2 linked regions of the Callithrix jacchus genome follow. Each later gene encodes a partner of the first gene's protein in a complex. Links are inferred from orthologs where the notes say so. Each region holds a gene or a part of one and is shown in the gene's direction. Other genes may lie near its edges.

Region 1 (3,644 bases):
AGTGAGAAAACCCAGAGGCAGATTTCTAAGATAGATAGTGAGGGAGAACCCACTCATTATTCTGGTTCGAAGGCCACCAGCAGAGTGAACCCAAGTTCACCTGTTTATAATTCTAACACTGAGTTCTGGAAGACCAAGACGGTTCCCAAGGAACCCCGAAATCATGGGATCACACACACACAAAATGACACAGCCCAGGGCCTTGAAAGAGAGCGTCGTGATGGTAATGGATGGCTTTATGTCAGACTTTATCCCGTGCTGTCTGTGGGTAGACAGAGGAGCTGGTAGAGGGTTTCATCATTTTACCTCCTGCCACATGATTCCTCACAAAACCTTTTGTCAGAGGATGTAGGGGTTGGAGTTTTTCCTTCACTTACTAAAATGATTTCTTCAAAAAAGAAGTATGTCTCTTACCACTTTTTAGCAAGATATTCTTGTTTTTCCTAAGCCTTACATAGGCATATATAATTTTTATTTTTGTTTATTAAAACAATTTTTTCGAGTTGAAATCTTAAAGTGGGCTCAAGTGATCCTCCCACCGCAGCCTCCTGAGTAGTTGGGATCACAGGCACTGCTACCACACCAGCTGATTTTTTTTTTTTTTTTTTTTGAGACGGAGTTTCGCTCTTGTTACCCAGGCTGGAGAGCAATGGCGCAATCTCGGCTCACCACAACCTCCGCCTCCTGGATTCAGGCAATTCTCCTGCCTCAGCCTCCCGAGTAGCTGGGATTACAGGCACGTGCCACCATGCCCAGCTAATTTTTGTATTTTTAGTAGAGACGGGGTTTCACCATGTTGACCAGGATGGTCTCAATCTCTTGACCTCGTGATCCACCCGCCTCGGCCTCCCAAAGTTCTGGGATTACAGGCCTGAGCCACCGCGCCCGGCCCTGATTTTTTTTTTTTTCAGAGATGAGGTCTCACTGTTCCCCGTTGTAGTCTTCAACTCCTGGCCTCAAGTGATCCCAGTGCTTTGGCCTCCCAGAGTGCAGGGATTACAGGAGTGAGCTACTATGCCGGCTGTAATTTTTATATAATAAGAATTAGTGTTTATCTAATTCTGGGGTTTTCGGTTGTTGTTGCTTTTCAAAAGTGTTCCCACCAAGTTTGATTAGCTTGGGGAGCTGCCGTGAAAATTCATAAAAGGCCCCTCCCAAGAGGCTGCCAAGCAGGACGGTCTATATGTCCTGTGAGTTTATGGTTCTACAGACTGATTAGAAATTTATGTAGGAGATCTGGATTTTTTAGTTCTTTCCTCTTCCACAGAGCACCTTAATTCAATTATTTGTGCAAAATGTAATCATAAAAAGCTGAAAACATGAGTTATAAACAAATATACAAGGGACATATGTCAGAAATTTATTTAACTGGATAAAGAAAATGTAGTGCATATACACCATGGAATACTACACAGCCATCAAAAAGAATGAGATCATGTCTCATGTCCTTTGCAGCAACATGGATGCAGCTAGAGGCCATTAACCTGAGCAAACTAACACAGGGACAGAAAACCAAATACCCCATGTTCTTACTTATAAGTGAGAGCTGAACATCGAGCATATATGGACACAAAGAAGGGAGTAACAGACAACAGGGCTTACTTGAGGGTGGAAGGTGGGAGGAAGAGAATATGTATATCGTGTACTAGGCAGTGACAAATTATCAGTACAGCAAACCCCTATGACCCGCAGTTTACCTATATATCAAACCTGCACATGTCCCTTTGAACCCAACATAAAAGTTTTTTTTTTTTTTTTTTTTTTTTTGAGACCGAGTTTCACTCTTGTTACCCAGGCTGGAGTGCAATGGTGCGATCTCGGCTCACCACAACCTCCGTCTCCTGGGTTCAAGCAATTCTCCTGCCTCAGCCTCCCAAGTAGCTGGGACTACAGGCACGCGCCACCATGCCCAGCTAATTTTTTGTATTTTTAGTAGAGACGGGGTTTCACCATGTAGACCAGGATGGTCTCGATCTCTTGACCTTGTGATCCACCCATCTAGGCCTCCCAAAGTGCTGGGATTATAGGCGTGAACCACTGCGTGCAGCCCAACATAAAAGTTTTTAAAAATGTATTTAACTTATTACTGAGAAAACTAGCCAGATTGTAAAGCTAATTCAAAGGAGAATTTGAGGAAGGGAGGTTTATAGTCAGTCAAGAAAGGCATGTTCAAATAAAGTTATCCTTAGAGATAAAGCTGGTTAGTATCATAAAGGGCAGCGAATGAGAGAGTAACCTTTGGAGTTGTCTTCTCTGTATGACAATAATCATTTGTTTCTCTCCCAGGCAGTAATCTACAAATTAATCTGTAACTTCAAAGTTTTTCCCTTAATCATTAGTAAATACTAAGTCAAACGAAATACTTCCCCTGGAGAATGAAAGGAGCCTCGGTGGGCCCATTGGGCATCCTCCATTATGGCGTGGAAAGGAAATGCGGTCGCCCTTTTTCCTTATGTTCAAATTCTGGATAATTTTTCTTTTCTTGATTTTGACACAGGGTCTTACTCTGTCATCCAGTCTGGAGTTCAGTGGTGCAGTCACGCTCACTGCAGCTTCAGTCGCCTCAGCTTCAGCAAACCTCCACCTCAAGCCTCCAGAGTAACTGGGACACAAGCATGCATCCTAGCTAATTTTTTGTGTTTTTTGTAGAGACAGGGTTTCACCATGTTGCCCAGGTTGGTGTCAAAATCTTGGGCTCAAGCCATCCGCCCACCGTGGCTTCCCAGAGTGCTGGGATTAGAGGCCTGAGCCACTGTGCCCAGCCTTGGATAACTTTTCTTCCAAAGCTCCTTTGCCCTCTTATCCATGCGTTAGCCTCAAGAGGCCCCTTCCCTACCTCTCCTTCTTCTTGACTCTGCCAAGTATCCCAGAGGGGGCTGTGTGTGTCTTGGCAGGTATGTGCCCTGGAACTTCCATGAGCCGTACCCAGGACAGTACCAGTTTTCTGAGGAGCATGATGTGGAATATTTTCTTCGGCTGGCTCATGAGCTGGGACTGCTGGTTGTCCTGAGGCCCGGCCCCTACATCTGTGCAGAGTGGGAAATGGTGAGTGAGGCTGGCCTGGGCTCTGACGGCCTGGTGTGTTGGAGCTGGCAGGCAGCAGCTCTGGGGCAAAGGGAATGAAAGCAAAACTGCATTCCAGATGGCATGGAGCCTGTGACTGTACCCAGCACCGGTGTCTTTTACCATGGCAAGGTGCCCAGATAGAGAGAGACAGAGAAGCAGGCCTGGGTCAGGACATGGACTCTCCTCTTGGTGGTCACTCACATAACTCAGTTTGCTCATCTGTAAGAAGCAGTTGATGGGCCGGGTGTGGTGGCTCACACCTGTAATCCCAGCACTTTGGGAGGCCAAGGCAGGTGGATCACAAGGTCAAGAGATTGAGCCCATCCTGGCCAACATGGTGAAACCCCATCTGTACTAAAAGCACAAAAATTAGCTGGGCGTGGTGGCATGCGCCTGTAGTCCCAGCCACTTGGGAGGCTGCGGCAGGAGAATTGCTTGAACCTGGGAGGCGGAAGCTGCAGTGAGCCGAGGTCACGCCACTGCACTCCAGCCTGGATGACAGAGTGAGACTCCGTCTCAAAAAAAGAAAAAGAAGCAGTTGATGGTGTCTTCTCTGTCGCCTCACAGGGTAGTTGTGA
Region 2 (3,744 bases), on another chromosome or scaffold:
GGCCGTGCCATCAGGGCGCGGGCAGAAGAGGACGCCCAGGCGGCTACGGCGCGCGGTCGGAGGCAGCACGTTCAGCTCATAGAGCTGGTCTAAGAGGTGGCTGTAGAGCCCTGGCCGGCTCCGGCCCACCAGGCGGTCCCGGGGAATGCGAAACTGCTCAATGCACAGATATGGTTCCACCAGGAGGGCCGGAGGTCGGCTGGGGGCCGCTGCCTCCGCCTCCGCCTCCGGGCTGTCCTCTCGGGGCACGCGGTTGTGGTGGCGCGTGATGGCGAAGACCCAGGTGTGGCCCAGGTTGACGAGGTCGGGCAGAGAAAACTCGGGCACGGCGGCCAGACTGGCGGGGTCCAGCGCAGTCAGGCCGAGACGCAGATGTCCGCACCAGCCCAGCTCTTTCTCCTCGATCTCGACCAGGAAGACCTGTCCCGGGGCCAGCGGCTCGCGGCTGAAACACACGCCGTGGGCGAAGCTCTCCACACGTGTGGCCCGCATCCCAGAGGGGTCTACGCGGATGTTGGCACCATGCACCCGATGGAAGCGGGTGGGAGGGGGCTCCGGGCGCACCGGTCCCCAGAATGCACCCGAATCCACGGGCTCGGAGGCGGCAGCCATCTCCCAGCCATGAGGCAGGCCAGCGGGCGCCTGGGGCTATTTTGGGCGCCGGGATCGGATGGTCACCGCAAGGGGACCTTGTAAGGCATTTCCCCCGTGGCTCCCTTCCCGGAGCTTCTGCCCGGGGGTCCTAGCGCCGCTCACTCAGTCATCCCGCCTAGAACTTGGCCGTCCACACCAGGATCATCTGATCGCGTGCGCCCGGGCTACGACCCGCGAAGCCCGCAGACCTTGACCCGGCATTGACCTCCACCGCCCCCCAGCCCGTAGGCACCGAAGTAGGGGCGGGGGGGGTGGGGGGAAGACTGTCACGTGGCGCCGGAGCTCACGTGACTCGGAGTACACATGATCTGCAGTTCCCGGGCGCCTCCAGGAGAGGAAGGACGCGGGGGAGCAGAGGTGAGCTGGCACTGGAGGCTGCAGGGGTTCCCCGAGCCCGGGATCGGTGCGCGGCGGAGGAGGCTCGCGGGTGGGAGCTGGCGCTGGGGCCGGGGTTTCCCTCGCGGAGGCGCCCTCAGCTCCTTCCCGGGGACTGCGGCGCAGAAGCGCTGAGGAGCGAGTCCACAGCCCCTCTGCTGCCTCCCGCAGATGATCCGAGCCTCGCCGCCGCCGCTGTTTCTGCTGCTGCTGCCGCTAGTGTTCTGGGCGCCCCTAGGCGAGGCAGCCCCCGACCAGGACGAGATCCAGTGCCTCCCCGGGCTGGCCAAACAGCCATCTTTCCGCCAGTTCTCCGGCTACCTCAAAGGCTCCGGCTCCAAGCACCTCCACTACTGGTCTGCCGCCCTGTCTCTGAGCGGGATTGGGGGGAGAGATGATGGAGGAGGGGTGGGGGGTAGTTTCGCAGACCCCTGAGGATGCCTGGGAGCCCGGAGGGCTGGAAAGGGCCCCTCCACTTGGCGCCAACCCTGCTCTGACACCCCTCCCAGGTTTGTGGAGTCCCAGAAGGATCCCGAGAACAGCCCTGTGGTGCTTTGGCTCAATGGGGGTCCCGGCTGCAGCTCCCTAGATGGGCTCCTCACAGAGCATGGCCCCTTCCTGGTGAGTGGACAGCAGCAGGAAAGCACAGTTCCCAAAGCAAAAGGCTGGGGAAAGGGAGGAAGGGACTTTGTGATTTTCCAAAAAGTTTTCCTTACTCCTGAGCATCGGGATTTTCCTGTGCCTTTGGCTTTGCTGCCTGTACCTCTGAGGGGTTTTGCCATGTAAAGTGCCTCTTATAGTGGCCCTTTCCCTCCACCATGAGACTTACCCAACCATCTCCTCCTCCTCAGATCCAGCCAGATGGTGTCACCCTGGAGTACAACCCCTATTCTTGGAACCTGGTATAGCTGGAGCTGTGGGTCCTGTGGAGGTGTCTGGGCACTTGGATGGGGTGGCGGTTAGCTCATTTTTCCCTCCGCTCTAGATTGCCAATGTGTTATACCTGGAGTCCCCAGCGGGGGTGGGCTTCTCCTACTCTGATGACAAATTTTATGCGACCAATGACACTGAGGTGAGTCCTGTGCCTGCCCATCTGCCCCAGGCTCCCCAGTCCTCCATACATGGCCCGATGATGGGAGAAAGAGCCTGGCCTTGGAGTCCACTTTTAGCTCTGTCCTATGCCATTGTGGTATAGTGGCCAAGTCACTTCCTCTTACATAAACAGGGTGGATTGATGTCATTATCGCTGAGGTTCTTTCTAGTCCAAATACCAAAGCTTCCTGATTACCCTCTGTCTTGCTTTCCCGTCCCCAGGTCGCCCAGAGCAATTTTGAGGCCCTTCAAGATTTCTTCCGCCTCTTTCCGGAGTACAAGAACAACAAACTTTTCCTGACTGGAGAGAGCTATGCTGGCATCTACATCCCCACCCTGGCCGTGCTGGTCATGCAAGACCCCAGCATGAACCTTCAGGTGCAGGGCAGTTGCAAGAGGGAAGGGAGGCACCTTGTGACTGTGGCCTTGCAGTTAGCAAGGTCAGAGTGGTCAGCATCCCCATCCAACCCAATTTCCTGCATAACCTCCCTGCCGTGGCTGCCCTAGGACTGTCTGTGTGCCTCCCATAGCAGGAAACTCACTTGTCAGGCTGCCAGCTCTGTCCTTTGCATTGAGTAGCCTCCCACACCCACCCGCCCCCACAAACCATCCTGGGTTTCAGCTTCCGGATTGCTGAAGGTCTGGGTGTTAGGTGAGGGAGGCTCCTCCTCCTCATCCTCCACCTGAGCTGAGCACCCTGGGTGTTTCACAGGGGCTGGCTGTGGGCAATGGACTCTCCTCCTATGAGCAGAATGACAACTCCCTGGTCTACTTTGCCTACTACCATGGCCTTCTGGGGAACAGGTATGGGATAGGGCAGTTGGGCAATCTCTAGGGTGGGGCAGGTTACATGATCTTGGGTCTGTCCTCCAGGTACATGATATGCCAGGCCCATCCCAGGTTTATGAGCAGCTGGTGAGTTGCAGAAAGAACTTAGCGCCAAAAAAAACCAAAGAATAAAGATCAGATTTTCTTTTTTTTTTTGAGACAGAGTCTCACTCTGTCTCCCAGGCTAGAGTGCAGTGGCACGATCTTGGCTCACTGAAATCTACACCTCCCAGGTTCAAGTGATTCTTGTGCCTCAGCCTCCCTAAGCAGCTGGGACTACCACTGCTCACACCACCACGCCTGCCTAATTTTTTGTATTTTTAGTAGAGATGGGGTTTTGCCATGTTGGCCAGGCTGGACTTGAACTCCTGGCCTCAAGTGATCTGCCCACCTTGGCTTCCCAAAATGCTGGGATTACAGACATGAGCCACAGTGCCCAGCCAGAGATCAGATTTTAAAGGAGACCTGTTTTTATGACCCTGGGGCACCTCTTTGGGAGCTAGCTTAGGTGATATACAGACCACACCCCGTGATATCTTTCCTAGTCCCCTAGGGTCAGAGAGGTTGGTAGGAGGTGGGGGGTATGCTCACCTCCTCTGCCTTCCTCTTTCCACTAGAGGCTGATGCACTTTTCCTCTCATCTCCTACAGGCTCTGGTCTTCTCTCCAGACCCACTGCTGCTCTCAAAACAAGTGTAACTTCTATGACAATAAAGACCCGGAATGCGTGACCAATGTGAGGTTCTGCCGTCACTTTGCATCAGCGCTGCCATCCCTAATCCTGAGAACAGGATCA

The links. Proteins that work in one complex are often made in the same cells at the same time.
Region 2: the proteins of GLB1 (region 1) and CTSA are in contact, whole or in part, in a cryo-EM structure (PDB 7KDV), measured with the Mus musculus proteins. The link is inferred for Callithrix jacchus from reciprocal best matches to the Homo sapiens genes GLB1 and CTSA. Residues at the interface, in NP_033882.1 of Mus musculus: Tyr198, Asp199, Arg202, His206, Leu229, Thr233, Leu234, Gln235, Asp236, Leu237, Lys258, Phe259, Glu260; in NP_001033581.1 of Mus musculus: Glu29, Asp31, Ala37, Lys38, Gln39, Pro40, Ser41, Phe42, Arg43, Tyr107.

The regions. Positions count from the first base shown.
Region 1 is NC_133518.1:71,218,988-71,222,631, reverse strand, and holds part of GLB1 (beta-galactosidase), read left to right. Parts: intron 1-2,894; coding exon 2,895-3,045; intron 3,046-3,644.
Region 2 is NC_133506.1:41,127,776-41,131,519, forward strand, and holds the start of CTSA (lysosomal protective protein), read left to right. Parts: upstream 1-966; 5' UTR 967-1,057; intron 1,058-1,200; coding exon 1,201-1,385; intron 1,386-1,538; coding exon 1,539-1,650; intron 1,651-1,880; coding exon 1,881-1,931; intron 1,932-2,014; coding exon 2,015-2,101; intron 2,102-2,343; coding exon 2,344-2,499; intron 2,500-2,833; coding exon 2,834-2,925; intron 2,926-3,599; coding exon 3,600-3,684; intron 3,685-3,744. Other genes in the region: NEURL2 (neuralized-like protein 2), read right to left, coding at 1-612. UniProt on the Homo sapiens protein: Protective protein appears to be essential for both the activity of beta-galactosidase and neuraminidase, it associates with these enzymes and exerts a protective function necessary for their stability and activity.